Rhinolophus ferrumequinum: one gene and its partners. The main gene of each other region encodes a partner of the protein of the gene in region 3 in a complex. Links are inferred from orthologs where the notes say so. Each region holds a gene or a part of one and is shown on either strand. Other genes may lie near its edges.

Region 1 (7,595 bases), on a different chromosome or scaffold from region 3:
TTCATTAGTATCTTTAGTTGCACGGTCATGGCTGCCTCAATGTCCTGAATTGATTCAAAACGTTTACCTTTCATGGTCATTTTGACTTCGGGGAAGAGCCAGAAGTCACAGGGTGCCAGATCCAGTGAGTAAGGTGGATGAGGACACACCGTGATGTTTTTATTTGACAGAAGTTGCTGTAACAGAAGTGATGTGTGACACGGAGCATTGTCATGATGGAGGGTGAAGTAAAGATACTCACAAAAGAGGACTTCCAGAACTGCTTCAGAAAGTGGCCAGAATGATGCGATAAGTGTTCGAAGCGAGGGGGAGTATTTTGAGGGGGATTAATGGCAATGTGTCTTTTACTGTAATAAATTTTTAATTTAAACATTCACCGTACTTTCTGATCATACCTCATATGTGAAGCTCTGGGCAGGGCAGAAGTCAGTGTTGCAGTCAAAGGAAATAGTAAATTCAAAATATAGTAATGAGCTTGGTATGTCCGAGGGACAGAAAGGCTACAATGACCAAAGTATAACAAACAAGAATGGGAAGATGAGGTTAAAAAGGCAAGCAGGGGCCAGAACTCAGAACAGAATTTTAGAGAGTCCACAGTAATATTTGGATTTTATTCTACATGTAATGGGAAGCCACTGAAAAGGTCTTAGGCTATGTATCATGTTATGATGATTTGTTTTTAAAAGATCTTGATGGCTGCTGTGTGGAGGAACAGACAGTAGGAGTACAAATGAGAGTAGTGACTTTTAGCCTGGGGACCAGAGATAGTCTCCAGGAGCCCACAAACTTTCTGAAATTGGAAATGAAATTGGAAATAAAAGTGTGCGTATATGTTCATCTGTACATTTTTCCAGGGAGAAGATTTACAGCTTTCATCAGATTTCCAAATTAACCTATTAAGGGCTAAGAATCAATGACATATACTACTAGTTTGCCATCAGTTAACCATCCCAAGATGCTACAAAATAAATGCTGTATGAGGTTAAACCTGTGGCACCTTAAGATTCACTAAACGCCTTCCAAATCCTCAAGATCAAATTCCTTGCCTTAAGGGAGGCCACAGCTCTTCTCTCTGGGCAGTGACAACACTACCCTATTAACAGAGTCTTGGGAATCTATCTTATCTCCTCTACCACTATTCCCCATGTGTTGTAGAGAAGTACCTTGATCCCACACTTATGACAGCCCCTAAGAAACTGTGGGTTCAAGGAATGCGTGTAGATGTGCTATATTCCATTTCTGGCTCAGCTGGAAAAGCACAGTGCCCTTAACAGAGCCTAGAAGCTAGTCTTCGGATGCTGCATTTCTAAAAAGATAACAGAGCCACTATGGTTTTTTCCATAGAACCTGTCATATCATAATCCTCAGCATTGAAAGTCTTTGGGAAATTCAAAAGAGATAGAAGAGACTTTCCAAACCTTGGATGTGTACTCTTATTCACACACTAGGACCTCTTCCATTTAACCTTCGTCAGTTTAGGCTCCAACTTTTCTCTAGTGAGGTATGTTCAGTGAGTACTAAAATTTAAAAAAGTGGAAGGGCCTTTAAAAGATCACCTAGTCAAACTCTCTCATTTTTCAGATGAGGATATCAAACACCAACAAGACTGCTGATGTGACCAGAGTCATACAAGGACCTGGTAGCTGAAGTGGAATGCCTATTAATTCAATAAATAAATACCGAGCCCCTATAAAGAGTCAAGTTCTGGATATTTAATAATATTAATAATATATTTATGCTCAGGAAGCTCATAGTTGTACAGAGGCATACAGCATCAGAGTTAAGAGCATGGATTCTGGACTTGGGTTTAAATCATGGCTCTACCACTACCAGCGGAGTGACCTTGGACCTACCTACTTAACATCTGTGAACTACAATTTCCTTATCTGAAATGGTTCATGATAGTGGCATACATGCTAAAGGGTTTAAGGGTAAAATGTACTATAGTCTGCAACTTATTTTGAAATGCAAAAGTGGACTGGTGGATGGATAAATGAATATATATATATGATAAAGCAACAGAGTAAAATGTTAACTGTAGAATTTAGGCACACAGGTATTCAATATACAAGTCTTACAACTTTTTGTGTGTGTCCTAAAGTCAGGGAGAAACAATTATTAGGGTGGTGAAAACAAGACAATGGAGATAAAGCTGCTTAGTACAGTGCTTAGCCCATAGAAAGCACTCAACCAATGTCAGCTATTTGCTGTAACAGGTCCTCAGTAAGCAGAAGCTACATAAAGAGAAATTTGAAAGCCACCTTGACCATACCAATATTTCCTTTTTGGAAAGACGATGCTCAAAATGGAAGCCAGAGACCTTTCTTTGGTCCTCTGTATTAGTACAATTAGGGGAGGAGGAAACAGTCTCAATTAAGGTTTCTGTAGCTGCTAAGTGGGGAGGCCAAGAGGCATGGATCTGAGAGCACAGCAAGCTGAGAGAGCACTAATTTGTGTACACGTGGGTACAAATACACGAGGGTACAAATCCTACCGTTATCATTACTAAACTGAGTGGCAAGAGTATAGGTGAAGTGACCTCTCCCACCCTCAATTTTTTAATCTGAAAAAAAAAAAGCTTGAATAGTTTTGTGATTATAATGTAATACTTTTGGACTTAGCATAGTTGCCACTTAATAAAAGTAGATTGAATTGGAATGGTCAATAGGATGCTGAGCATGAGTGAAGCAGGCTGCTCCTCTCTGTAACTCCCACTTCCCTCCTTCAGGTCCCAGGCCCTGGGAATCAAAGTGAGCTTTTTCAGGTTGATCACTCCCGTACTTTAAAACCCCCACAGCCTCCCACTGCGTTCATAAAAATCCAAATTCCTTCCCACGGTCAGCAAAGCCCCGCAGGAAGTGGTCTCCAATAAAATATAATAATTACTGGCTTAAACGTTTGTCGTCTCTCACCACACTAAAATGTAAGCTCCATGAGAGCAGGAACCTCATCTATCTTGTTCCCCGCTGGATCCCAGCGTCGCAAACAGAGCATGGCACGGAGTGGAGGACTCCCTCAAGACTTGCCAAAGATGAAGCAAGCAGTCAACCGCCCCCGTGGGGCCGTCACCTGCTCTTCTGGAACGGCTCCACTCCCAGTCCATGAGGCGCCCCCTCGCCGCCCCCACAGCCAATTTTCACTGCTCCGAAGAAACGTCAGCGGTACACCCTAGCGCACACCCAGGTCTGAGCCCCCACCTCAGCGGCCCCTCGCGGCGGCGGCGTGCTCAACGCCCCGATCCCCTGGCCCGCCCGCCACACCTCTCGCGCGTTCTCCTGGCCCACGAGCCCCGATGCCGCTTGCTTGGCCAGGCCGCTCTCGTCCAGCCCCAGCCCCTTCACGTGGCTGTGGGAGGCGATGCGCTGCGTCTTCGTGGTGCTCTTCACCTCCTCAATCTTCATCCTGCAGACGTCCGGAATCAAGACCTGAGTGGAAAACCAGGAGACAGTTGCCCAAACCCGGGGCCCAGGTTACCATGCGGCAGTTACTAGAGCGGTTTGTCAGGGCCCGCCTTGGTCGGCGATCCATTGGCGAAGGCGGAAACGCCTCTGCTCTCCATTGGCTCATGACTATGCCCATCGCGGCGGCCGTGGGGGCTCTCCCCACCCACTTCCGGCTGTGTTGCCGGATTAGCATCCCCCGCAGCCCAAGCTTCCTGCTCTGGCCCGGGGGCGGTAACACAGAGAGGATAAGCTCGAAGTTTCGTCTGGGGCTGGGACTCTGCACTGAGGTGTGAGTCTTAACCGTGCCATCCTGTGCATTTCGCATTGGACCGTCATATCCTTCAGAGAAGTTCAAGCTCTTACCTCCGTTTTGGAGATGGTGAAACAGGTTTACAGCGAAAGCTTTGACTTTTGCTTACTGAGTTTTCAGGCTCCCACGCCTTTGCGTCTCCCGGGGAAGGCCCACCCCAGCCAACCACTCCCACCCATGTGCTGCTGGGTATCCTCCATGGAACTGGCCTCTGCTTCTCCTGGCTTCCACCCTCTCCCTTTATTTAAATTAAGTTGGCTGCAAATAACATTTTATGTTTCCAAAACTCTACGACCCAGTAAGGTAGTATAATTCCTAATATAGATAAAGACAGGCTAAAACAGGCCCAATAACCTTGCACAAGAACGCACAGCAAGTAATTAACAGAATTGGAACTCCAGCTGAGGATTTAAGGCTTCACAGCCTGTATAATCTTCATCCCATCCCACAACCTCAGATGAGACAATCAGCCAGCAAATATATCCTGTCAGGCTCCATAATGATATTAACACTCCCTGTACCACAGTGTACTCTCCCATCCATCCATTCATTCAGCAAATATTTGTTAGCACCTGCTTTGAGCCAGACACTGCAATGTACTAGGAATACAGAGATAAAATACAAAATCTCCAGCCTTGATAAGCTTAGTCCTTAGTTAGGAAATTTGCAACATTAGATGTGCAGGAACATGTACACCCCACCTGGTGTGCAAGCCCAGAGCAAGGCCACCTAGAACAGCCTCGAATGCCAGGGAAGGCGTCATGAGGTGATAATGCCTGGGCCAAACCCTGATGAATGGATAAGTCTTCTTCAGAAGCAGGTGGCATGTCACCTTTTTACAAATGAGTAAACTGGGGTCCAGAGAAAGGGAAAGACTTGCCCAGAACATAGGACAGCTTACATTAGGGTTGAGACAGACCTGAAGTCAAATCCAGCTGCAGTAGTTCCTGACTCACATCCCTTTGTACTTCTCCATTATAACTTTTGAATCTGGGTTTCTAATTAGTTTGCAAGAGTATTAGGTCAATGTTTGTCTCTCCCACTAAACTACAAACATTATGAGAGTGTAGACCACATTTGTGTTGTTCATCATTTTAACCCCAGTGCCTGGTACACAGCCTGGCTCACAAGTAAGCCTTCTTATGAATTCAAATAAGATTCTAGACTCCCCACATACACACTTGAAATCATGCAGTTTGCTGCATGTATTTTACAAACTGGGTTTTCTGGGACTTGGTAATGGTTTCTATCAGTAAATGGAATGTTGTGGCATTTTCAGAGCCCAAAAGAGTAGAAGCAAGGCCTTGGAGAGCTGAGGTTGTTACTGATGACCTGCGATACATCAACCCTAGGGATATCACCTCTAGGACACCCAGAAGGTTGCTTAGCATCTCATTAATTTATTCCTGGTTATGACCCTTGGTTAAGAGCAATTCCTTTCACACTGTGAAAGGGGAAGACTTTCTTCCAACTAGTAGTCAAAATGAGGTACTGTATGGAACTAACTTCTTTGTGTATTGTCCAGTTAGGAGAGAAGACCATTTTTACATTTATTATTTGGCACAGAGTAAAGGGAAAGATTTCCTACCAGCCAAATATGGGGGTAGGAGATAAGGACTTTGGAGTTTAGAGGAATTCCTAGGAGCCCTTGGTCCAGTGGTTTTCAAACCACATTCCCTGGAGTTGTGGTATTCTTTCATGGCCACTATGAGTGGGGAAGGGGAAGTCTGAGAGTGCAGGATACCTGTTCCATGCCCCTACCTCCCCTTCCACCAGAGCTGTTCCATTTTTTTTTTTTTTTTTTACTGCTAATGAATAGTTCAAAAATCACTGATCTGGCTTAGCCTTCTCATTTTACAGGTTAGGCAACAGAGGCCCTCAAAGGGGATGGAAACTGTCCAACTTCACAAATGGAACAATTGCCTGACAGTCCTTGACCCCAGATTTGGTGTGCAAAGAAGCTAGACCTGGTTGCAGAGCCAGACAGTTCCTTTCATTTTGACGGAAGTCTATGTGGTGGGCCAGTGTCCGAGATACACAAGGTGAATGAAGGGCAGTTGAGACCCATAGTAGTAGACATGGGTTATTTTACCTACCCAGAATCCATTCAAATTCTTCTGGCTACCATCACTCTAATTTTCTTTAGAGAACCACCCTTCCCCCACTTTGAGTCCAAATCCTTTGGATGGGTTGCCCCTAACACCCAGCGTTATTTTAGGGATGGACACAGAACTCTGGCCTATCAAAGTATCTCATCTGCCTGGACATGGAGATTGGTTTGGGAATGTGAGTGAACAGTCCAATGACAGTCCTGGCACTTTTACTGGAAAAATCAGGAAAGAAAACTTGGGTCATCGGTTTCCAGGTCATCTTTGTCACTTCATAGGAAGACCGCCTGAGAATGAAGCCAACACATAGGAAAGGAAAGCTGACAGAGATTCCTGATAAATTCCTTTACATTCCCAGATCCAGGCTTGCCCTTCTTACAATGTTGTATGGCACTCACATTGGGGCTTAAAATAATTTGAGTTAGGTTTCTATCTGTGGGTATTGAAAATCCGCATCAATGTGATGATACATATGCAAATAATTGTGTGGACTGCTACATTCCAGAATTGTGCTGTGTGAAAACACCAGAACTGCCAATTCTCTCACTCTTTTCACTCCCATGACCCTTGCTGTGTCAACTCCAATCCCTCCAACCCATCTTTTTTACATTCCAAGTTTGCTCATCTCAGCCACTTGGTTTCCGACCCTTCTGCTCCCTCCTTGCATTGACTTCTTTCACACCTGACCTTTGAACCCACATGCCCAGATCAAGACTACCTCTACCTTCTCCACTGCCTCATGAAGGCTGCTGTGTATGGCGGCAGGCAATTATTCAGTGTCCCCATGGAGCCATTACACTGTCATGGTCTCCAGCTTCAATTGAGCACACAGAGTTGCCCAACTACTGATTAAATGTCATATTAGTTAGGATATTAATTCAGCTACAGTAATGGAGAGATACAAAATAATAGTGAACTAAACAAGATAAAATTTACATTTTTTCACATAAAGTCCAAGCAAGCATTCCACCTGGTGAGTTCTATAATCATTAAGAATCTGTCCTCCTCTTTCTCTTATTCTGCCATTCCCCACACACACCTTCTAGTGCATGGCCCTAGATAACTGCTCAAGCTCCCCCCTAAAGCCTATGTTTGAACCAACAAGAAGGAGAAAAGGGGGAAGGGAGGCTATGCTCCTTCCATTTAACCTTGACCTCAAGTTGCATCATCATTTCTACTCCTATTCCAATGGTCATACTTAATCAAATGGTTACAGATAGCTGAAGAGAGGCTGATAAACATAGTCATTAGCTGAAAAGATACATGTCCCCACTAAAAATTCTATTCCCAGGTAAAAAAAGGAGAGAAGATAGATTGGGAAGCAACTCTTCCTCTCCACCCTAAGTTGCAATCTGCCGGGCATTGCTGGGTTCTTCTTGTGTGCTGACTCAAAGACACACATGACCTTCCTCCTAGTCAAGGTATCTCTACTAACTGGGTTCCAGATAACAATCTGGGCCCCACTACATCTCTCAGAGGCCTTTCTCCACTTATTACCCTCCTTATTCGTATAGTTCCACCTATTCTCCCTGATCATTCCCCACAGGATATAAACATACTCAATCTTTCCCATCTTAAAACACAGATCATATTCAATGATGAAAGACTGAAATTGTTTTCCCTAAGATCAAATACAAGATAAGGATGCCGGCTTTAGCCTCTTCTATTCAACATTCTATTGGAAGTTCTAGCTAGAGCAATTAGTCAAGAAAAAAAATGATCACCCAAATTGGA
Region 2 (7,835 bases), on a different chromosome or scaffold from region 3:
GTACCATAATACCATATTTCTTTAACAAAAAAGCCTGCTACACATTTATAATTTACAAAAATTATAGAGTAAATCCTCCTTCAAATCTTTGCTATACACTATATAATTTGCTTTTACCTATAAACAATACAGTGAGAATACTTTTTTCTTATTAATAAGTGGTCTTTTACAACATTACTGTATAACATATTACAGTTTATTTAGTCGATCCTCAAGTTTTAGATATTTAAGGTGTTACCAACTTTTCACTATTAAAAATCAATGTTGTGATGAATGTCTTTATAACTAAATCTCTGTACACTCCCATGATTATTTCCTAAATATCAATTCCTATAAATGGAACAGTGGGGTCAACGTGTTGTATGCCTTTAAGGTTTTGATATAGTCTGCCAATTTGTTCTCTAGAAAGTCTGTATCAATTGTGCTTTAACCTCTAATATTACCTAAGTGACAACATCAGAAATGTTTAACCTGTCAGTTATCAAATCTTTAATATGCTTTAAAGAGCACAAAATCATTTCTTCTGAACTTTAAAATGTAATTTTTGACAGTATAACTACAGATGAAGCAGGAGCTTGCTTGTTTATGGATGCATTAAATAACCACATTAAATATTTGGAAGATTTGTATAAAAAAGATTGAGGGATAGGAGAAGTAATTTATCCTTTTTGTTTTTCAACAATTATCCACTTTCACTTAAAGGAATAGTTCCCTCTCTCCTCAATATATTTAAAGTTCATTTATTTCTAAAGAAAATATCAAATTCAAGTACAAAATAAATATCATTAGTGAATACAGCTCCAAGATACCATAGTAGCATTAGTATCACTTGATTCTAAGGTAGTACGAGTTTTATGATGGGGAAAAATATAATATCAACTATGATTATCTGTATGTTTATAGATATGATTATCAACAGATATCTATATGTGATTTTACATAATCTTGGACACTTTTCACTTTTGAAGTTTAAAAAAATGATGAAGTCTTACAAATCATATATAAAATTCTTACAACTTTGGTATACAGTTAATAAGATAGAATCAAACCCTCCCATATACTATTCAGAATCACTCTAATAACTTACCCTGTGTTTCTTCAGGTTAGAAAGTTCATCCACAACAATTTTTTGTTCTTTAATCTATTGAAATAAAGAAAACTTCTTAAATCAGAGGTTCTTGAAGTATGCTGAATGAGGGCCCATTAAAAAAAAGTAGAGATGGGATAAGGGGCTATAATGTACTGATTGTCCAAATTGGCAATCTGTGAACACAGATTCTTTTCAACAGCAGTCTGTGCGAGGGTACAGGTGTGGAAAGGCTGAGGGACGAAACAGCGATTAAACTTGCCAAGTGTTAGACAACCCACTGAATCCAAACAGAGGGTTTGGTGTTGGTAACCAGCATTCATTCAAGGGCCATGGTTAACAATCAAGGTTTTTATCTTTTACTTGAAACAGACACTAGGCACCAGTTTTTCAATGATTTCTTTTATGTTTTAGCTTATTTCAATAATAAATAGCAAATGGAATGAGGGGTGGGCTACTTCCCCCTCCCCACCAAATACCAACACTTTTCATGATTTGTGTACTATATGGTGCAGCCCAAGCACGTGTACTAAATGCTGTACCTGCAGTAAGACCTATCACTTTCCAACTTTCTTCATTAGTCTTTGTATGCCAAAGACTGGCACAGCGCTGACACTGCTGAAGGAGGCCTCACTTTTTATAAGTAGGAAAGGACTCAACTAAGTGGAAACTGAATTTCTAACTTTTTTCAGTAATGGTGGTTATTTTGTGAACATGACTGATCACATAGTATCACTAGTATCTCTAAAATCAGGTTTTATAATCTGTTCTGCCTCACTCCTCAGGGATCTGTCATATCAGTGTAAGTGGCTTGCTATGGCAGTGAGTGGACTATGTGTGGTTTGAAAATTCACCCACCAGGAGTGTATATCCCTCTGTCTTTCCAGCTAAGTCAGTGCAGTAACTGACTAGACTGAGTTAAATTGGAAGACCATGCACAACCTCCTTGAAACTTAGGTTTGAACATCGCTTTCCCATTCATTTTAGGAACGGCAGGTCATTTTTCTCTTTACTTCAAACAAGGAAACTGTGATACAGAGGGATTAGAGACTTGCCCAAGATGTCAATGTTAGTTTGGGTTTGAAGCAAAGAATCGAGGACATCTGTATCTCAAAGGCTATAACCATCCCCATCTCCAACATATTTTTAAAGGTTTTGTCTTTTAATGCCAGTTAAGATTTATATTATACTGGCTTCGTTCCCCCTTTTTGGAGGGTGGAGGAATGACAATAAGACGTGTGTTTTAGGATCGATTGTTGCTCTGGCTAACGTGGAGAATAGATTGGAAGAAGGTAATGATGGATGATAAAGGGCGTTTGAAAGTCTTTGCTGGGTTTCCGATGGTAAGTAGATGAAGGTGGCTGGTTTAGGATGGTTAAGAGTGTACACGGTGACAAAGGGACTTATGTGAAATGAGCTTCAGAAGCAGAACGAATAGGACGTGATGGACGTCAAGGATGATTCCCAACTTAGTGGCAGTCTTAATGGATGGTGGACAACTGAATGGATGGCGGTGACACTTTCTGAGATGGAGAATATCGGCAGCGGATCTGGGTTGGGCAGTATTTCTAAAAATTTAATCCCAACTAAATCTCCGCCCCACTGCCCCAACTGGGTCTAATTTCGGGGCAAGTTTCAGGATCCCCCTTAACTGTAACTGTCCAGAGCTAAGAATAAAAAGAGCGAAGCCGAGGTGGGCAAAGCCGAGGCCGGGCCATGCTGCAGCGGTGGGCATTCTGAGGCCCAGCGGCACCCCGTCCCGCGCCCGTGGGCCTTCTCGCCTTGTCCCACACTCACCTTGAAGCTAAGCTCCTCTTTGTGAGGGGCCGAGTTGTCGGCTGGGACCAGCCCGGCTCCGTTTTCTGGGCGCGCCTCCCGGAAGGGAATCTCCATCGAGCGCAAAACATGCAGGATGCGCAGCCCGGCTAGCGCCTCAGCAGCCTCCGAGCCCCCCGACTCAGTACGTCCACCATCCCAAGGCTCCACCTCCTCCCTCTCCCCGGTCCCATGAGTCCTACCAATAGCGTCTGCGCGTTCACTGCAACGCCTGCGCAGTCCGGGTCCGGTATGAGCGCAGTTCCGCGCGTGCGCACAGGTGCTGAGGGAAGCGCGTGAGCAGAGCCGGGTTGTGAAATCTGGGAGGTTCCTGAACAGTCCCCTAGTGGATCCGATATAGAAAGACTTTTGTGACCTCTTCACATTCTCGCAACCAGTAGACTGTGAGTTGTATGCGCCCCCTAGTGGTAAATATGAAGAATAGAAACGCAGTAGAAATTCTAGTTAATATTTTTTATGTAGCCGAGGCCCAGATGTGAGATACATTGTTGGCAACGAAACTGTACAGACTTGGTAAAGCTTTTGTTAACGTGTTATTGGGGTTAAAAGGGAAATGCAGGATGCCCAGTTAAATATGAATTTCAGATAAACGAATAACTTTTTAGTATAAGTACGTCCCACACAGTATTTGCAGTATCTCACTTCTATGGGAAAAATTATCCAAAACTTGGGAACAGGCAAGAAATTATTGGATGTTCTTTCAGTGCTTTTGTGGGCTTGACTTTCTATAGACTGGGCAATTTTACAGTTCTGTAGGGGCAGAGGTTAACCTGTAGATTTTTGTCTGGCAGAGATGCAAATAATTTCTATTTGGTGGACCGGATAACCCCACAGGTTATGATTTATTGTTCTGTAAGGCATTAACCAGTTTTGTGTCTAACCCTGCAATCCTACACTAACGCGTCTTTATTAACATAGGCCTATCTTCTCACAGACCCTCTGAATTGGTTTAAATGTCTTACCTGTTCCAACATCAGTTAATGAGTTGAATAAGATTTTGACATATGTTCATTTTATATTTGCATGACAAATATGATTTTATATTTTTGAAAATTATACTTTAACATTGAAAATCTCAAGTTTTCCTGAAGCTGCCCGTGTGGACTCATGATGGAGCCAAACTCTGCTAAGGAAATGTACCTCATAGGTTGTTTAAGCCCAGGATTATCTTTTATTGGCTCTTTGAATAAATTCAGAGTGGTTATAAAACTAAGTTTACTGTTTGTTTTCATTTTTAAGGATTTAAAAAAATTTTGGTTTTCTTTCTGATTTGTGCGTGGCTATTACACATTGGTAGCAGCAGCGATTGGGAATTGGGCTTTATGGCCTAATCATTCAGTGATATCTGTTGGGTGATGGAGATCCAGTCTCTATTGGAAGAGAGATGGCAGAAAATCCAGTTTTTAATCTTTTTGTTTGTCCTTTGCAAGCTCAAATTAATTAAGAATTTTGTGCTCATTGGAAAGACCAGTTTTTTGAGATATGGGCTAGCGAATTTTTATGTTTACTTTCAACCTGAGATAGAGGTTGGAACACTGAAGCTATAAAGTGTCTGTGTCTGTGTCTATGATTTAGAATGGCTTGTATATCTTGCTGTGAGAATGTAAAATGTTTTTGTACTTTTGGAGGGTATTAATAAATTCCATTATAATGTCTCTTAAATTAAAGGGCAGTCTATAGACATAATTATGCACTTGTATAAATCCCAAAATTCAAAAAAAGCCCAGAATTTCTAATACTTTAAATGTGCTAGACTTTTAAGAAAATAAAGTCCTTCTGCTAGCTTAGAAACATTTGAAGCATATGTTTGGAGAAATTAAAGTGAATTTTTGGAGAAATCAGACTGGATTAATAATTTGGGTTTAAGAGAGAAAATGCATTTATCAATGCTAAGTAAAATACAAGTAGATGTTTTATTTTTTATGACATTTAGATTTGTTTTCTCATGAAGAGATTATTTAATCTGAATTTCCTAATTCATACACTGGTTTACTGATTAAATAAGCTAGCATTACTGCTACAGAATATTTAAATTTATGAGAAATGTAAATTGGTATTCACTAAAATGAGTAATTATTCAGACAAACTTTTTATGTCAACAATAATTATATTTCGTACCGTATAAATTTAAACACAATTCCAAATTTTTAGGTAGCTTAAAACCCTGAGAAAATATCAAATGGAGTTAATTAATGATTAATCATTAGATAACTAGATAATTTATTTTAAAAGGTGAATACTGAAACAGTGATTAATATAAGCATAATTTTAAGTTTACATACTTTTGCTTCTTGTTTTTATATGCCATAGAATGGCTATCCTTTTGGATAATGTAAGGGACATGTTCATTTTTGACATTTTCAGAAGGTGTAAAGGGAATGTGTGTGGCTGTAGACAGTTATGTGTATGAATGAACTTTGTTTGCTAAAGTGCTTGCATATGACAGTTACTAATTATCTACCTCCAGTTCTCTCTATGAAACAGAAGTTATTAAATTGGTTAAAAGTTGTAACTAATATGGGTGGTTAAGATCACATTAAAGGCAAGAATAATAGAGAATGCAAGGTAATGGGATGAGTCTTGTTTTGTAAGGAAAAAGAGAGTTCTAAAGTAATTATTTTGTTTCAGAATATGAAAAAGCACAATGAAAGACAAAACTTGAGGAATTATATAGTAGGTTGAAGATGATTTGATGAAAGATGATTTGCATTGGCTTATAATACCTAGCGCCGAAAAGAAACTATGAAATATGTTTAAATTTTGGCACAGTACATTCAGTTTGGAAGCCTTATTCACAAGATAATTTTTTTTAAACTTTACTGCCAAATATTATATTAATTAAAAACTGAAATTTCGTCTTTTCTTAACTCCATTCCCCCAAATCTTTAGGGTTCACCACAGTTAAGCTGGTAGGAACCTAGGAACATGTCTCCCCTGACACCTGGGGTGACATTTTAATTAGTGTTCAGAGTGATGGTGACGTTTGAAGCTGAAGAGACACCAGCATATTGGTCTACTTTGTAGACCAATGTGTGTTATTGTGTGTATTGTATTATTATCCTGGCTAATGTATGATGTATATTACTAGCCTGGCTTCCAAGGTTTAGATGAATATTACCCCTCCTCCTATGGCAGTGTCTGCCTGACTGGGAACTCTAGTTAATGCTTGAATTGACTCTTTGACCCACATGATTTCCATACTGAGTGGCCAGAAACCCTACTGATTGTTCTATAGCTGTTCATGCCCTTTTGGGGGTGGGCTGTTGGTTATGGCTCTGCCTGGTGCTGATATTTCCACTGATTTACATGGGTCACCCAAGATGACATAATACTAAATGCAGTAGTGATATGATAATCTTATTAGTATGGTGCTGAACTGTTTTCAAAGTTCTTTCACATTTTATCTTATTTTTTTGTGTTTCTCCAATTGCTTCTATTTCCCCCCTCAGCTGTTGTAACTCCGGCAGTGCTTGAAGTCACACTTGGTATCATTTGTCTAACTGGTTTAGGACTACCCATCAGCAGCTCACCATGTAACTAGCTCGGCTGTACTTCTTCTTTCATTTAAGTCCATTGCTGTTGTTTATTCTACTTAATAGGATAATTTCATGTTTATTAATGCTATATATACACTTCCTCTGATGCTACATTCTTAATGTATTTCATTTTGTTTAATAATGCATAGTTTACCATTCACCATTTTGTTAAAGTGATGTATATTATTAGCCTGGCTTCCAAGGTTTAGATGAATAGTACCCCAACCACAGTTTTCCCTTGCTTTCTCATAATACGGATTTGTCTCTAGCCACAGATTTGTCTCTAGCCACAAAAGTCTCTTTCCCATCTCTCCCAAAGGAGGTATGGAATAGGGCTGTGGTCCCCAAATGCCAGTTAGTAGGTGGGTGCCCTTCTCACTATGTAAAATCACCTGAAAGTCTTGTTCAAATACAAATAGATTTCTCAGTCCTTTTCCCAGACTTATTAAACCAAATGTTTGTGGATGGAATATGGTTGTCTGCTGTATAACATAGTGCTAACCATTTAACCTTTAACCAAAATGGCTGGGTTTGAATTTTGGCTTCTCCATTTATTAGATGTGTGAGTTTGGTAAGTCATTAACTTCTCAAGCCTCAGTTTCCTGATCTGTAAAATGGGACTAATAATAGTGCCCACCTCAAAGGGTTGTAACGAGGATTAAATGAGTTAATATTTGTAGTGTTTATTATAACAGCTACAAGCACATAGTAAGCACTATTTAAGTATGTGTTAAATGGATGAATCAGGAGTTCCTTCAGATGATTTTGACACACAGGTTTAGGAGCCAGTGGAATGGACAAAACTAGGCTCTGAAATGTTTGGCCCAGTTATCTTTGAAGATATGTCTTCTCTTTTACTTCCACTGATTTTCAATAGGGCTAGCTAGGGCTGTTCCAAGTTGATACTTTCGAAAATAGGTGGAGGCTCATTTGGTTGTTACAATGATTGGCTAGTTCTGCCCATTCTCGTGGGGTAGGACTAACAGGGAGCTGACTGAAAGGAGACAGACTGAGCCACAAACTCCTTTAAGAATCCTAGACTCGCCGGCAACGGGCAGTCTCAGCAGCAGACAGTGCTGGGAATCGCATGGGGCGGGAGTCAGGAGGGGCTGTAGGACCAAATAGCAAGGAGGTGAAATCAAAGGAGAGGTAATCTCACACAGGTGTTTTGCATCAGGAATTCTGTTAGAAGATGAAAGGGCCTGAGATGTTGGACTGATGTTTATAAGCAGGGATCTAGTATCTGAACGGGGTCTACCAGGTCCTTATCACACAGGCACTGGGAGGAGGGAGCAGGGACTTAGCCCTGGTAAGGAAGCACACCAGGCTGATCATGGTCCCTCAAAGGAAATGGCTGCGTCTACAAGCACTGGGCT
Region 3 (8,199 bases):
ATCTTTGAACACATCCGTATCTCATCAACTGCCAAATTTATTGCACCCACCTCAGCAGTTTTTCTTCGGCTCAACGACATCACCCTAATTCAAGCCTTTATTACCTCTTGTCTGAACTAGTACAAGTCTTTTAAATTATCTCCCTATTTTTGGACTCTCCAAATCCATCCTACACACTGCTGCTGGTTTCATTTTCCTAACACTTAGATGACATAGAAAAATGTTCATGATGTATTATTAAGCTTAAAGAGCAGATTACAAAACAGTATATATTATATAATACAACTTTTATAGAACAGTATATATTGTAGAATGACAATGTTATAAAATATGTAAAATACACACGTCCTCCCTTTTTATCCACACACACACGCGCACACACAAACACACACACACACACACAAGGAGGGGAAATCTCTCAGAGAATATGCTCCTAGACAGTAAGAATGGTTCTCTCTCGATTGCAAGGTCATGGTAATTTATTTCTTACTTTGTACTTTTCCCTGTGTATTCTACAATCTTCTCAATGAACGTGTATTATTTTATGTAATAGGAAAAAAACTCAATAGTGGAACACATACCCTTCTATCACTCCCTCCCTGCTTCCATCAACAACTCCAGAATTCTTTGTCGTGCAAACATCCAACTTACTTGGAAGATCACATCTTTCTGACTTATACCTCATGACTTCATTAAAACAACCGGTCACTGCCCTTCGCATCAATCTATGCTCTGTGTTCTCCCCTTCTTCCTGTTTCCACTACCCCTGTTCAAAACTATCCACTCCTTCAGGCTCAGTTCACGTTCTTCTGGTCTGATCATTGTATAAGTGAAAAAAGTAGGTCTGTCTGATTCTCAAGTCCCTCAATTAAAAGCCCTGCTCTTCCAGTTACTGACTCTGGGTGAGTGAACTAAAGCCTCTGAAGCTCAACTGTCCTTATCTATAAGGGAAGACAATACAGCCTACTTCAATGGCAGTAATTAAGTAACAGAAGAGAAAAACCAGTAAAGTGCCTCGCACAATCAGTTACTTGCTTCCATCTTGTTTATAAGTGACATATGTGGCTCCTATTTGCAGCAATGATAAATCTTATGCTTTTTACCCAGCGTTCTCTCTGGAACACAAACAAAAGCCAGAGTGTTAAGCAAGAACAGTCTCAGAACTCAATGATCACACTCCTCAGTGTCTTCTGAGGGCTTCTTTCTCCACCACCCTTACATGTTGGTTCCACCCCATTCTGCTTCTTTTTTCACTGTCTGTACAAACCCTAGATGATTTCATCCACAACCGTGGCTCTGTCTACTATCCAGAAAGCCACAATTCTCTACCTTAGAGCTCCAAGTCAGATTTCTTTCTGGAAGTCAAGATTCATAAGTCGAACCACTTAATAAATGTCTCTACCTGGATGTCCCACAAGAAACCCAAACTCAAATCCTACAATAAACTTATTCCCTCCCCCCAAACTTGTCCATCTTCCTATACTCCCTGTGGCACCACCATTCATCAAAGACAAAAGCCTGAGAAACATCCTAGATTCTCTTTTCACCCTATTTTCTGCACATTCAAGTCTTGCAGACCATTTCGAACTTTAAGTTCACCTGCATCCCAAACATGTCAGGCAGTTTCATATCTTAGTGCTTTTAAACACATTGTTCCCTCTACCTAGAAAATCCTCCACTTCCTCTTTGCTTGACTCACTTCTCTCATCCTTTAGAATGGAGCTGAAGGATTATCTCTTCTAGAAAACAAAATAATTAGCACTTATTAAGCCCATACTATATTCCAGTCACGGTGCAAAACACTGTGCATGCATTGTCTTGCTTAATAACCAGTATTCAATGAAGAGGTAGGTACCATTAGGTTTTCTACAGGGCAGGAAAGGCCGAAGAAGTAACTCTTGGGAGGTCATCCTCTATGGTAGAAATGGTCAAACACATGTCTGTCCGACCCCGGTGCATTTCTTATCTTAGTCTTAGCCACCCTGCTATACCACAGCTTCCCTTTCTGCCACCACCCCCAATCCCATAACCTCCTGCTTAGTTGGGGTCCCTCCTCTAGCTGCCCTAAATAAGGGCCTGTGTGGAACACTGCAAACCTTATTGTTTGGTTTGTCTTTTCTCAAAGGAGTCAAGCTACCTTGAAAACAAGGTCTATTTCATTCGTCTGTTTCCCTGGACCCAGCAGAGTATCTGGCACATAGCAGACCCTCAAAAAGTATCAGGTTCCCTCTCCCTTCCCTTTTCCCCAACTAAATCTGAGGCTATGTCTTCCTCCCTCCTCAAAATCCCACAGCACTTTATAGCTCTCTTCGGACACTTACCGTCTGCCTTATATTAACATTTCGTGTTATCTTACGAGTATTTTCCCCAAGCAGACTAGAACTCTTCGATGGCAAGGGACAGTTTGAAAAAAGACGTCTTTACGCTGATACATTTGCCTGAGTAATTGTTCAACGAATAACTACTGAAGGAATCTGTAATTAAAAGAGCTACTGTTTAGCTATGTTTTCCTTTCTCTTGTGTAGATTTCTTCTCATCTCTATTAAACAGTAGCCCCACTATTAGCAAAACATGCTTCCCAAACCACAAAAGGCGTTCTGATTAATTTATAAAACGCTGCCCGATGCTGGGCACTAGGGGGAATGCAAACTCGGATTAGAAGAGGGTTTCTGGCCTCTAAAGAAATTCAACCTAATAATGACTCCCGACTCAAAACAGTATGAGTGTTCGGCTATGTGCGTCACGTGGCTCTGCAGTGACTGCAACTGTCAACTTGGTTTCAGGGTCGGGTAACACTACACAACCAGCCCGAGGACGAACCCCCTGGGATTCGCTACGAGCGGCCCGGCCCAGCTACATCCCGTCTGAGGGTGCGGAAAAGAGGGGGACGTGACGACCCACGTCCCGCCAGACCTGTGCATCTTCCCAGGCCCTGCATCTGACGGCTCTCGCTTCCAGGGGGCTCACCCAACACCCCACGGCGGCGCGGCTTTCAGCTTCCAACGCGCCCACTCTCCCGCAGGGCTCGGCTGCCTTCTCCCACGACCCTCCCCTCTGTGAGCGGCACCGAGCGCGGGACTGGAGTGAGGCCCGCAGCAGCCACAGGCTGCCCTCCTCTCGCGTCGCCTCCGGGCCCTGCCCGGCTGCCCTCCTCCGCCTTCTCCGCTCCTCACCTGCTCCGCCGACACCGCCCCCTTCCCCGCGCCGCTCCCGCTGCTCTTGCCCGCGCGACCGCTGCTCTCCGCCATCTTCGCCGCCCGAGGGGCTTCCGGCGCGCAGAGCAGACCCGTGCGTCACTTCCGCCCGCGGGGTTTCCGCCCGCTCGCCCCTGCGCCGCCGCCTCCAGGCCGCTCTCGGGTTAGGACCCTGCGAGTGGTTCTGGCCGTGTCTTCCTGGAGGGCCTCCTCCGCGTCCCGCCGGCCGCGGTGAATGCCGCCCGCGGTGCTCTGACCTGTGCAGCCGAAATGCCCGCGCTGCGAGGGCAGGGAGGACGGGTTAACGGGAGAGTGGGGGCGCGGGCTGGGGCCCGCGTGCCAGCGCCCCCGTCCACCGCGGGTGCTGGGAACCAGGGAGGGTGAACCTGCCGTCAGACTGGGGTGTGCGGGAGGTGCACTGTCAAAGGAGAGGCGGGGAGCACCAAGGAAGTCTCTGGGAGAGGCCTTGGACTGCTGAGACGTCGGGCAGAGGACGAGGGCTTCCGTTTAACGCGAGATCGCGAAGTCGAGGTTTCGTCCTTCTTCCCATCTTGTGATCTCTTCCCGTGGCCCATAATTACCTGTAACAAAGAGCGTCTTCAAGACTTGGGCGCGGAGGGGGGTGTTGACAGGCAGGGCCCTGATTCAGCGGCACAGTATGAAGAGAGAAGTCAGAGAAGCCTAGAAATTCACGGCTTGAGGGAGGGGTAGGTGTCCTTATTTCTCACTCTCCTCAGGCAGGGCTTCATCGTAAGGCCTCATCAGCTCCTGTCCCTTCTGTGCCCTGGACTCCGGATACCTCGACTCTCAGTACTCTGTGCTCAGCCCAGGTAACGTGTTTGTCGTATCTTCAGTGCCTGGCACGTAGTAGGTGCTCAAATGTCTGTTGGATGAATGGATGGCGGGAGACAGTGGGGTACGAGCCATCCACAGAACATTTGATCGGTGGGCCATTGTTCCTTGTACAGCAGCGTCAAAGGGGTGTCCAGCTTTCTTGCCTCCCCATTTGAGCCCCTTGCCGTTCAACTTGGGTTTCCCCATGCTGGGAAATCTGAGTCCTGCCTGCGCTCTCCGCAGGGCCAGAGCCATGGCTCACTCCCCATCCTCCTCCTCCTCCTCCTCCTCCTCCTCCTCCGGGGCACTACCCCTGGTGGCTGTGTGCCAGGTAACGTCCACACCAGACAAGCAGCACAACTTTAAAGCGTGTGCTGAGCTCGTTCGAGAGGCCGCCCGACTGGGCGCTTGCCTGGCTTTCCTGCCTGAGGCATTTGACTTCATTGCACGCGACCCTGCAGAGACTCTGTACCTGTCTGAGCCACTGGGTGGGAGCCTTTTGGGAGAATATACGCAGCTGGCCAGGTACCAGGGAAAGGGGGAGGGAGGGAGTTTCTTTGTTGGTTAATGTCTCTGGATTGCCAGATATGAGAAGTGTCAGTGTCCCCTTCCCCCAGGGAATGTGGACTCTGGCTGTCCTTGGGTGGCTTTCACGAGCGTGGCCAAGACTGGGAGCAGACTCAGAAAATCTACAACTGTCATGTGCTTCTGGACAGCGAGGGTGAGATGTCATAACTCTAGTCTGCCTCTTCCCAGGCTTTTCTAAACAATTCTCCAGAATTCTCAACAGGAGTATCCGTACTTCTGTTCCTGGCCTATGAACTATCACCTTGGGATGAGAGGAACTAAAAGCTGGGCTTCTAGAGAACCAGCCCCAGGTTTCCTCCTCTCTTTTACTCCAGGGTCGGTAGTGGCCACTTACAGGAAGACGCATCTGTGTGACGTAGAGATTCCGGGGCAGGGGCCTATGCATGAAAGCAGCTCTACCATGCCTGGGCCCAGTCTCAAGTCCCCCGTCAGCACACCAGCAGGCAAGGTGGGACTGGCATATAGTAGGACGAGAGGGAGGGGAACAGGGACACTGGCATGTAGTAGAGGAGCAGCAGCCCTAAGGAGTAGGGTAGCAGTGTTGTGACAGACGGGATGGGGGCTAACCAAGCAGGCTGGTTTTCCTTCCAGATTGGTCTTGCTATCTGCTATGACATGCGGTTCCCTGAACTGTCTCTGGCATTGGCTCAGGCTGGAGCAGAAATACTTACCTACCCCTCGGCTTTTGGATCCGTAACAGGCCCAGCCCACTGGGAGGTAAGAGGACACCTCTTCAAAACACACCTTCTCTCAACCTGTCTTCCCTCGGCCCTGCCAGTTGACAGACTTTCTCTCCCTTCCCAACTAGTGAGAAAATTCATTTTCCAGATTGTTGCCTCTCATATGTTAAAGAACAGTTAACATCGTAAATCTTTCCTAGGCAGTTACCAGAATGGTCACAGTGGGTAGACTGGCCTGCAGTGTCCATTGCCTGTCAGTTCCCCACTAGCTGCTACGTGTGTGCGTCAGTGAAACACATCCCCACCCCCAGGTGTTACTGCGGGCCCGTGCCATTGAAGCTCAGTGCTACGTAGTGGCAGCAGCACAGTGTGGACGCCACCATGAGAAGAGAGCAAGTTACGGGCACAGCATGGTGGTGGACCCCTGGGGAACCGTGGTGGCCCGCTGCTCTGAGGGACCAGGCCTCTGCCTGGCCCGAATCGACCTCCGTTATCTACGCGAGTTGCGCCAACACCTGCCTGTGTTCCAGCACCGCAGGCCTGATCTCTACGGCAGTCTGGGTGGCCCACTGTCTTGAGACTTCTCACTTTGGGGCGCTGAGACCCCCATTGTGAGCCGGGGTTGCTGTAACTTATGGGCAGGACCCAGGCGCAGCTCCCCTCACTTGGAGGCTCAGCTTCTTGGCAAAGAAGAAACTCACCTGAGCTCAGATTTCAGTTTCAGAAAGGTGGAATTTTATATAGTCACTGTTTATTTCAAGAGAACTGAAATTATGCTGAGGGCTGAGCAGCACTGGCATTGAAAAAAAATATAATAATCATAAAGTCTGTGTGTGGACATCTCCTTCGGGAGCTGAAATGGGAGGTGGTGCTGGACCAGCAGACTAGGAGCCATCCAGGCCTCCTGGCTCACGCCACAGGCCTCCCTACCTACATAAAAGTGCGACACTCAGTGCATGGCCTGGCCCCATGCTCCCAAGCCCAGGAGTGGGAGTGGGGGCGGGGGTGGACAAAAAAGGGAGCTGATACTAAATTCCTTCACTTTCACCTACTGTGCCCTGTGCCCAAGCCAGAAGGATGCAAAGGGGAAAAGGGCTGCAGGGTCCATCATTTATTTTCACTTGAACATGGAAGGAAGGCTCACACTCCCCCTTCCCCTTTTCAGGGGGAGTCTATTTTCATCAGCAGCCTCGCCCCGCCCACCCGTGCATGTGTGCACAGACACACCGCAGTCAGTGGGGAGGGGCGACCAGACTGACCTATTCCTCTTACCTACTCTCCCCTGAGGGTTTAACAAAGGGGACAAAGGAGGAGCCACACCAGGCAGAGGTCTCGGCCATGGTGTGGAGGGAATGAGGCAGAGGAGCAGCACCAGAGGCCAGGAGACAGTGGGAAGGGCCACAGCTTGTTTTTAAAAAATTCTGTAATTTGGGAGAGGGTGGTGATTAATTTCCAAAACCCACTTCCGAGTCCCACCTTCCACACAGCTCCCTTACTCACAGCCCTTTGGTTTTTCAGACAGGATTTAAGAGCCCTCATGAAGCCAGTAGCACTGCTGACCCCCACGCACGCACGCAGACGCAGTGTTCACTTCAGTCCCTTAACGGAGACTGCGCTACAGCCTTTGCTTGTCCCTGCACATCTGTCTTCTGGCTCAGTGGCAAGGTGGCTGTAGACACATGGGGTAAGTGGGAAGGGGGACAAACAGGAAGCCCAGGCACATGGCTGCAGGGAGGGGTGGGGACACCGCTTCCATAGTTCTTTGTCTTTTCCTTAAAAAAAAAAAAAAAAAAAAAGGCAGGGCTGTGACTGGTTGGCAGGGTAAGAACAAACCCCAGAACAGAACAGTGTGCGCTCCAGACGTGAGTGGCGGGGCAGCCCCAAGGAGGTCAGGGCAAGGCCTGGAGCATCAAGTTCGTCAGGAGCTTCTGTCGACCCAACTCATAGTCCTCCTCGTCCACGTTCACCAGCAGCTTGATAGCTTCGTGGCCCACGGCCTGCTTCAGGGAGTCTGTGATGAAGACACCTTTGAGCGCCTCCAGTAACGAGCCGTTGATGTAGTCGCGCCAGAATGCGTCGAGGTAGGTGAGCTCGGAGAACTTGATGTCGCAGATGATGGAGCCCAGGTCCCGGGACTTGAGGATGGTGTTGGCCTGGTTGAAGCGCTCAAACTGGCGCTCGAGCGGGTCCTGCCTGTTTGAGAAGACGTTGCCTTGCAGCGCGGTCTCGTGCTGGCAGTACTCCGCCCGGACCCGCAGTCTGATGTCTGGGGAGGAAGACGTGCACAAGAGGCTGCGGTCAGGGGTGGCTGTGCGAGAAAGGCTGGCAGAACAGGGTGGGCAACACATGACACTCCCTACCTCGCCCCTAGGACTCGTTCCTTCCCAGGGCCTGAGAGACCCTGGCCCTAACGCAGGAGGTTGGATCAAGTGGGCCAGGCCAAGGCCAGATTCCCCATCATTCACAAGCGGCCCCTTCTTCTAACAGGCCTTTTCCTAGTCACCTCACTACCTTGTCATGACCTGGCACCGTACAATGTGGATGTCACAATGGCACCACTTTGATTTAGTATCAACTAAAAAGAGCTGAAATGCACCCTGCCACAGAGGGGGAGGAGCCCGAGACACCCCAGCCTCGCTGTGCAGCCACCACGCGAGCCCAAATGCCCAGGGTCCGCAGTCCTCGTGCCCTCTGCAGCCCCCACTTCCTCACCACATGTCTGCTTTTCCTTGGGATCTGCTGTCACTGACTTCCGGCGTTTTCGCTGGCTCCCGAGTGTGGCTCTCCCTCGAGCTGGCCTCTTGCTACACATCTGAGGGCCCGGAGTGGGGCAGCACACCACAGGATAGTGGGGAGGCACTGACCAAAGGGTTAGAGGGGAGAGGACAAAGTCAAACACCTGC
Region 4 (8,015 bases), on a different chromosome or scaffold from region 3:
CTTCTCACCTGAGAAAAACAGAACTATATTTTCTTAAGCCTCAGTTTGCTGGGTTTTCTGTTATTTGTGGTCCAACTTGTTCCTCACAGACAAGCAAGCACTATGCTAGACACGCATACTGTTTTCTTTCAACTTCACAACAACTGTGCTATGGAGACACGCAATACCCACCCCCTGCTTTACAGATGATGAAATAACTCCGCAGAGCAGGGACTGAAAGCAACATCAGTCTGAACCCTCTAACACAGGCGCTTCTCATCAAGCTGCCCGAAGCCTGATTCTCAGTTCTGCGTGAAGACTAAGGCTGGTGGGGAAGGCAGCTGTGTCCCCGACCCATGTCCAGGAGGCCTTACCTTTCTCAATCATTTCCTTTGTCTGAGGGTGAGGCATCTTGATAAACATGTTCCCGAAGCAAACCATCACATCGTCTGAAATGGCAAATGCATTCCTTCAGCAAATATGTCGGAGCACCTACTACCAGCCAGGCACTGTTTTAGATGCTGAGGACACAGCAGAACAAGACAAAGTTCCTGCCCTCATAGAGCTTAAGTCATAGTGGAGGAGGAGGAATAAACAAGCAAAGATGTATCATTTGTCAGACTCTGACAAGTCTAACTACTGTAGAGAGTAAGACACCTGGGCAATGCCAGAGTAGGGGAGGGACTTCTTATACCAGGTGGTTTAAGAAGGCCTCACCAATTATGTGACATCTGGACAGAGATTTGAACAAAGTGAGGATGTGAGTCCTGCAAACATGGGGGGAAAGAGTGAGCCAGGCAGAGGAAACAGCAAGAGCAAAGATCAGGAATGTGCTTGAGGTGTTAGCAACAGCAAGGTGAGCAGTGAGAGTGGAGTCACTGAGTGCGGGGAGGGTAGAGATGATGTTGGAGTGCTCACGGGCGTCTGGCTTACATGGGGTCTTGCAGGACTCTGGCTTTTACTCTGGTGAGATGAGAAACAACTGGAAGGTTTTAGACTTTCCAATGCACTTTAAACAAAATTCAAACTTCCCTTCACTGTGGCCTGGCCTCTGGCCCATCTTTCCCAGCCTCATCAAATGCCCTTCCCCTATGCTTCCTCTGTTACAGCCACTTGGCCTCTAAAGAGCCCCCATTCCCTCCTCCAACACCTACCCCATGTCTAGTCCCTTCTTCAACTTCCTCCCAATTTTCAATTATGTATTTATGTCGTTCTACTCATCTGTAGAACACACGGGCAAGAACCGCAGTTTGTATACCTCCCAGCACTTTCCTAATGCCACTGGTGAGCCAGTGGCTAATGGTTTGTCATGGAGGTGAGCAGCTAAAACCCTGAGCCACAGTGTCAGACCTGTGAAATGTTCTCCCCTATCTCCAGGGGCAGGCCGTGCCACAGACCTGTGGCCTCCTGCCTGGTCTCTCTATTAAGTACAAGATGGAAAACGGAACAGGCCTCCTCGGCTGCAGTAAGGAAGTCATGACTTACCAGAGAGGCTGAGATCCTTCTGCAGGGCCCTGAGGCCCTCTCGGTTCTGATTCCTTTTGGTGTCCAGGTCCACAATCTGAAAAGTTCAGAGGCAGGAGGGAACACAGTTACCTCTTGCCCCAGCCTATCACCTCACAACAGACCAGGGGCTATTAAAACCTAACAGAGACAACAAGGCGTTATTCCTGGCTTACTTCCAGTGTCCTGAAAGTAAAATGGGCTGATGTGTGAATATATATTTTCTCCCACTTAGCTCTCAGATGTTTAAAGACCATGCTTTGTACAGGTGTCTTCCCCCTAGAGAAGGTGCTGGGAAAACGTCTGTTAACTAAACGGATAATTTTTATTATCCACTGGAGTGCTAGTTCACAGGCTTTAGGGCATTTCAGAATCACCAGGGGAGTGGAAACCTCTCCCTGCACAAGCTCCTCCAGCTGATTCTTAATTAGTATCATGAGAAGCCCAACTAACTAGACTGGATCAGCAGGGGTGGGACACTGAGACGGTGGTAACAACACAACAGCTGCTAAGGAAGTGAGGAGGCGGTACAATGTGCTGCTTGAGAGCGCTGGCTCTGGAGCCAGAATAGCCAGGTTTGAATCCTGCTGCCCGCTATGTGCTGTGCAATTCCACCTTCCTCTTTACCGGAGATACGAACAGTACTCACCTCCTAGTCATTGAGCCAGGAGCAAAATGAGTTAGCACAGTAAGTACTCAATAAATCTTAACTACTATCATCATCGCCCAGTACACCTTGATGCCCTGTTCAATAAGCTCTTCCTGAGTCTTCTCCCTCGAAGTAAATACCAGACCAACCAATCGATCAATCATTCTAACTGGAGATGAAGAGTCATGACTCATTCTTGACTCCTCCTACGCTCTCACCCCTATGTAACCATCATCGAGACTAAGGCCATCTCCAAAATATATTTCTGACCCATCCGCTGTCTCCATCCTCGCCGCCCAGGATCAAACCCATCCCTCACCTGGACTGTGGCAACTGGCCCCCACCAGGCCCCTGCCTCCTTACAGTCTGTGCTCCACAGAGCGGCCAGGGGGATCCTTTTATTAATAAAACCTAAATCCAATGATCTCATCCTCCCGCCCCCCATGAACTCCCTTCAAACACCCGGCACTTCAATTAGAACCAGGCCCGAGCTTCCTCTTCAGGTCCACAAGGCCCTCTACGACCCCGGCCTCACCTTCCTCCCGCGTCCCCACCCCTGCGCAATCACAAACCACTCAGGCCTCTTTTCTATTCCTCTTCTCCCTTCAGGGCCTTGACTGGGGCGGTGCAACCCAAGTCACTGAGAGTACCAGGAACTGCATTTTGAAAAAGGGGTTCAGGTAAACCGCCCAAAGGGGTAATGGAGCGGGATCCGGAGAGCACGGTAAGGGGCAGAGGAAGGATGGAGAGAGAGGGGATGCCTAGCACACAGCAGGCGCTCACCTAAGACGTGCCGTATAAATGGGTGAAGCGCGGTGCCGTGCCCAGCGTTCCACCACGTTATCTCACAACTGCCCTATGTCTGTCCTTACAGCCAGCGGACCACCAGCCCCGGGCCACTCACTGCCAGCCGGCGCTGGAGCCAGATCCCGGACCCCGCGCGCTTCCCCACGGCGCTGGTCACCAGGCCGCAACCGCCGAACCCAGGCGCCAGCGCCGCGGACGGGCCTCCCACCTGCCGCTTGTCCGCCAGCACCGCCTCGGCGAGCTCCTCCACTTCCACCAGGTACCGCAACACCCGTTCCGCCTCGGGGGACAGCATCGTCACCGGCAGCTCCAACTCCGCAGGGCCGCGACCCTGCTCACCGTCTGCTCCAGCTCCGCTTGCGCACGCGCCGCTCTGAGAGGACTCACAGTACACATGCGCAATTAAAAAACGAACGGCGGCGCGCAGGCTCCAACGCATGCGCGTCAGCCGAACGCGAGAGGCGGGGCCCAGCTTTGGGGGCAGGGCTGGAGCGCCCCCTGCAGGCCCAGAGAGCACAGGCCGCAGTGTGGCCTCAATCTCTTCCTTCTTCCCCTCACATATTTCTTGAGCACCAATCTATTATGTGACAGGCAGTTTTAAGTACTGAGGATGCAGCAGTGAGCAAAACAAAAGTCCCTGCCCTCGTGCAACTTCATCCTAGTAGGAAACACCAACAGTTAACGACAAAACAAATAATTATATACTCTGGCAGGCACTGATAGGGCTTTGGAAAGAAACAAATCATTCTTGCCCTGTTTGGCGAACACCAAGGAGGCTCATATGGCAGTGCGACTTATATTTAATTTTATACATTCAGTTTCCGATCTATAAAATAGGGGTTAATAAAAATCCCCCTCATTGTCTTTCCGCAGGATCAGAAGGAGGCAGGAATCATTTTTAATGCACTTTGACCTCTGTGTTGGGCCCACTGTCTGGAGTAGTTGACCTAGACCTAAGGAAAGGGCTGGAAAACCATAGGCAGTGAGTAATGAAGTTCCAGCTCAGAAAAGAAGTTCTGTACGTTCTGGGAAGCGAGTCAGTGTGGGCTGTAGGATCGGGGAGGACCTCCAAGAAGAGGCAGGCAGATGGCAAGTGGCTGCCGTTCAGAACCAGAGGGTTCCCTAGAGATCATGCCCAAACCCCTCATTGTATAGCTGGAAAAACCAAGGCTCAGAATGCGGCAAGGACTTTTAAAAGTCGGCAGCGGACCTGATGTTAGAACTCTGATCTGTTGCCTCCAAGTCTAGCTTTTTATTCTCCCCTTTTGGCCCCTTGTGACCAAGCCCTTGCACACCCCTTGCCTTACTTGAATTTCACAATAACCTTTGCCCCATCTCACAGCTGCAGACTCCGGGTGGGAGAAGGGCCATGCTTTGTCATCTAGAATGTCAGCAGCAAATGTGGGTCTAGAAGCTCTCTGGCCTCCATTCCACAGCAATCTCTGCACCCTGAAAAAAAGCCCTCTCCAAAACTGTGGCCCTAGAAGTCTCAATGGCATCTCCTCTTTGCCTGGCCGTTGGCTGCCTTCAACTGCCTGAGGCAGAGCTAATTTTCCCTGCAGCTGCCTGGTATAGGGAAAGAAGGAGATTCATTAAGGATTCCTCATTGAGGGTGAATTTGTCGCCAAACCCAGGATGTTTTGTGTAAACACCTTCTGGTTCAGAAATGCAGACACAAGCCCTGGGAAGGAAGGGGGAACATTTGCCAAAGGAAAAATGGGGCTCATTAGGCATTCCTGGGACCTAGACCCCAGAACTGGGTCTCCTCCACTTTGGGACCCAAAGAGGCCTGGACCAGGCTGACCTCTGACCCCTGCCAAATGGGCCTGAATGGGGAAGGGTTGAGGGAGACTCCCAAATTGACAAATTCTTGGCTGTGACCGGCCCTTAGAGGGCACCCCTGGCAACTGGAAGTGCTGGAGAGGGAGGTCATATCCAAGACATTGAGACAGTTAGACCTGAAAGGACTCTTGTTTCAGAACCATCGATTTTACAAATATTTATTGACAGCCCAGTTATAGGGATTCTGCCACGAGCAAAACAAGACATGGTCCTTGCCCTCAAAAAGCTTCCAGTCTGGTGGAAGAGACAGACAAAAAAACACATGAACAAGTAAATATATCATGTCAGGTGGTGATTAAGAGCTCTGGAGAACAATAGACCAGGGCAAGGTGGAGAGGGAATATGAAGGGGTTATTTGAGATACGGTTATCAGGGAGGGCTTCTCTGAAGAGGTGGCATTTGAGCAGAGAGATGGAGATGGTAAGGGGGTGAGCCATGTGGATATCTGGGGGAAGAGCATTTCAGGCAGAGGGAATAGCAGATGCAAATGCCCTGGAAATTGGAAGAACAGCAAGGCCATTGTAGGTGAAACTGAATGAGCAAGGGAGAGAAGGTAGGAGGTGAGGACAGAAAGGGGAAGGAGACATGCAACATGTAAGGCCTCGGAAGCCCTCCTTGGAAGTCAGCTGCAGACACTGCTGCCCATACCTGTGGCTTCCTGCTTCTCTCTGCTCACAGATGCAGGTTGTGTGCAGAATGCAGTGAGTCAATGTCCACAGAAATGGCCCTCAACTAAGAAGAGAAAGGAGTTAGTGGCTGCATACCCCAGTTTCTTTGCCCTTCTGTGGGATAGCATGGTCGCTGGACCAGGGGTAGAAGTGGGGATGGTGAGCACTGGTGAGATTCTCAGGGACTTTGCACACACTCTTCAGTCAGCCTGGATTAATTTTCTCCCACACCTTTGTACCTGTGTAACTACTACGTATCCCCCACTTATCAGCTTGTCACCTCTTCCCATAGGTCAAGAGTCCCTTCTTGTCCCCCACAGCTTCCTGGGCTTCCCCCATCTCTGCATTTACCTCACCATCTTTTTTTTCTCTAATCATCCCCCTCTCTAGTTGTGAGCTCCTCGAGGCAGAGACCTTATCTGTCTTGTTCGCTGCTGTGTCTCTGGAATCTACAATGGTGCCTGGCACACAGTAGGTGCTCAGTCAATGTTTACAGAATGAATGAGTGGACTCAATATGAAGCAGAATTTCTAAAATACAAAGTATCCAAAGATAAACAGAGCTAACTCAAGGGTAAGTGGTTCCCATCCCAGAAGGTATTTAAGGCTGGACTGCCACATGGTCGGAATATTGCAGAGGGTGTGTCCCTCTGCAGTCCTGAATGGGGGTGATACCTACTAAGTCTTTTCTAACCAAATAAACTCTACCTGGTCACACTGGTGTATGCCCCCCCATCTTTAACCACCCGAAGCCCTGGCCAAAAGAACATGGCTGCTGGGGCGTTGGGGACTGCAGCCAGGAAGAACGATCCTTCACCCATTCCCCTTGGGTCCCTTTTTACTGTTTCTGTGCACCCCCCTTGGATAAGTGTTCAGTGACCAGTACCCACTTCCCTCCTTGGGGAGGACTGCCCTCAAGGCTGCTGGAGCCTCCTGGGGAGACTTACCCTTCCTCTAACCCATCCTAACCCTTCCCCTAACCCAGGAATATGAAAGATGACCTTTCTTGCTTGGGCAGCTGGCGGGGTTGTGGGTGGATAACTCTGAAGTATAATTACACTCAAGTTTCCCTGTGGGCCAGGCTGAAGCGGCCACCCACGAGACATCCGCAAGCCCTGCTTGGCTTCCTTCCTTCCCAGTCCTGCCTCCCCGACTCCCTTGTGGTCAACCCGCCTCAACAGTCCATCTCACTCAGTAAAAGTCAAATGCCCCACCAAGGTCCACAAGGCCCTACCTCTCTGAGGCATCTCCTACCTCCTTGCTAGTCCTCAAACATGCCAGGCATAGTCCCACCTCAGGGCCTTTGCACTGGCTGCTCCCTGTGCCTGCACTTCCCCTGACATCTGCATCCCTTCCTCACCTCCTACAAGTCTTTGCTTAAATTCCATCTTCTCAATGATGTCTGCCTGACCACCCTATTTAAAACTGCAACCCTTACCCCGCCCAGTACTCCTGATCAACTTCCTAAAAAAAAACACCCACCAAAAACCTATTTTTAAAAATAGCATTTGTCACTTTCCCACGTGCTATGTAATTACATTTATTGTTACTCTCCTTCTGCTAAAAAGGAAGCTCCATGAGTGCGGAGATCTTTGTCTCATTTGTTACTGATATATCCCAAATGCCTAGAATAGTGTCTGGCCCATAGTAGGTCTCAATAAACATTTTTAAATGAATTCGAAAAAGAACCAGAATCCTAACCAAGGCAGATTCTCTCTGAGGCCAAGCTCTTAACCCCAATGCTGAAGGTGGGGGAGGGTGGAGGGCAGGAATGGCAGATCATGCTAGACTTTGTTGGCTAAGGTAAGGGGATTGTATTTTTCCCCCCAGACCAGTATGAAGTTACTGGGAGGTTTTGAGCAAGCACAGAACGTGATTCGGTTTACTTTGTGAAAGTCCCTCTGTCTGTGGGGATAGGATGGGCTAAAAGAGGTAAGTGTGGAGCAGTCTTCTGGGTGTGTGTGTGTGTGTGTGTGTGTGTGTGTGTGTGTGTGAGGGGTGGGATGATGGGGACGCTGAGACGGAGACGGACAGGACTTTGGCTGCATGGGGGCTGGGGCAGTGAGAAGCCAGCTCATATCCTGTTTCTCTAGGCAGCCTGAGCACTGCCCCATGGGCTCTGGCCTCTGAGTAGTCCAGGCTGGGCCTCCCAGCTGCTGACAACATGGCCCTGTCCCACAGATGGTCTGTTTGCTCTTGTGGGTGGTCCCCAGCTCCTCCCTCTGCTTCCTTTGTGCCCTTGGCTTGGTAAGTGGAGGGGAGGCCTCCACCCCCTCTCCTCCCCTGACCCAGAGAATAATCCCTTATATTCATGCAATTCTCCTTCTGCCCTTACTTCATCCTCCCACATCCCTGGGTAATGTAGAAATCTGACTCCCGTTGGGCAGATGAGGACATTGAGGCCTTGAGAGGGGATGGGACCTCCCAACGTCATGCAGCCAGATGGGGATGTCAGGTGGGGACCTGTCTCCCAACTCCCCACGCCTTGATTTCATTAGGCAACAGATGGTCCCAAGGTTTGACGAAAAATCTTAAGTGACCTCAAAGAGAATATAGCCCAGAACATTC

The links.
Region 1: PFDN2 (region 3) and RUVBL1 share a complex: the UniProt entries of both Homo sapiens proteins name them as parts of the PAQosome complex. The link is inferred for Rhinolophus ferrumequinum from reciprocal best matches to the Homo sapiens genes PFDN2 and RUVBL1.
Region 2: PFDN2 (region 3) and ASDURF share a complex: the UniProt entries of both Homo sapiens proteins name them as parts of the PAQosome complex. The link is inferred for Rhinolophus ferrumequinum from reciprocal best matches to the Homo sapiens genes PFDN2 and ASDURF.
Region 4: PFDN2 (region 3) and PDRG1 share a complex: the UniProt entries of both Homo sapiens proteins name them as parts of the PAQosome complex. The link is inferred for Rhinolophus ferrumequinum from reciprocal best matches to the Homo sapiens genes PFDN2 and PDRG1.

Annotation. Positions count from the first base shown.
Region 1 is NC_046302.1:1,213,992-1,221,586, reverse strand, and holds the start of RUVBL1 (ruvB-like 1), read right to left. Parts: upstream 3,498-7,595; 5' UTR 3,402-3,497; coding exon 3,198-3,401; intron 1-3,197. UniProt on the Homo sapiens protein: Possesses single-stranded DNA-stimulated ATPase and ATP-dependent DNA helicase (3' to 5') activity; hexamerization is thought to be critical for ATP hydrolysis and adjacent subunits in the ring-like structure contribute to the ATPase activity.
Region 2 is NC_046291.1:39,096,323-39,104,157, forward strand, and holds the start of ASDURF (ASNSD1 upstream open reading frame protein), read right to left. Parts: upstream 3,123-7,835; 5' UTR 2,981-3,122; coding exon 2,885-2,980; intron 1,142-2,884; coding exon 1,088-1,141; intron 1-1,087.
Region 3 is NC_046305.1:2,295,952-2,304,150, forward strand, and holds the start of PFDN2 (prefoldin subunit 2), read right to left. Parts: upstream 3,315-8,199; 5' UTR 3,249-3,314; coding exon 3,174-3,248; intron 1-3,173. Other genes in the region: NIT1 (deaminated glutathione amidase), read left to right, coding at 4,093-4,553, 4,646-4,749, 4,931-5,064, 5,208-5,333, 5,608-5,874; DEDD (death effector domain-containing protein), read right to left, coding at 7,186-7,562, 8,009-8,155. UniProt on the Homo sapiens protein: Binds specifically to cytosolic chaperonin (c-CPN) and transfers target proteins to it. Binds to nascent polypeptide chain and promotes folding in an environment in which there are many competing pathways for nonnative proteins.
Region 4 is NC_046306.1:22,577,023-22,585,037, reverse strand, and holds the start of PDRG1 (p53 and DNA damage-regulated protein 1), read right to left. Parts: upstream 3,321-8,015; 5' UTR 3,234-3,320; coding exon 3,147-3,233; intron 1,541-3,146; coding exon 1,465-1,540; intron 429-1,464; coding exon 354-428; intron 1-353. UniProt on the Homo sapiens protein: May play a role in chaperone-mediated protein folding.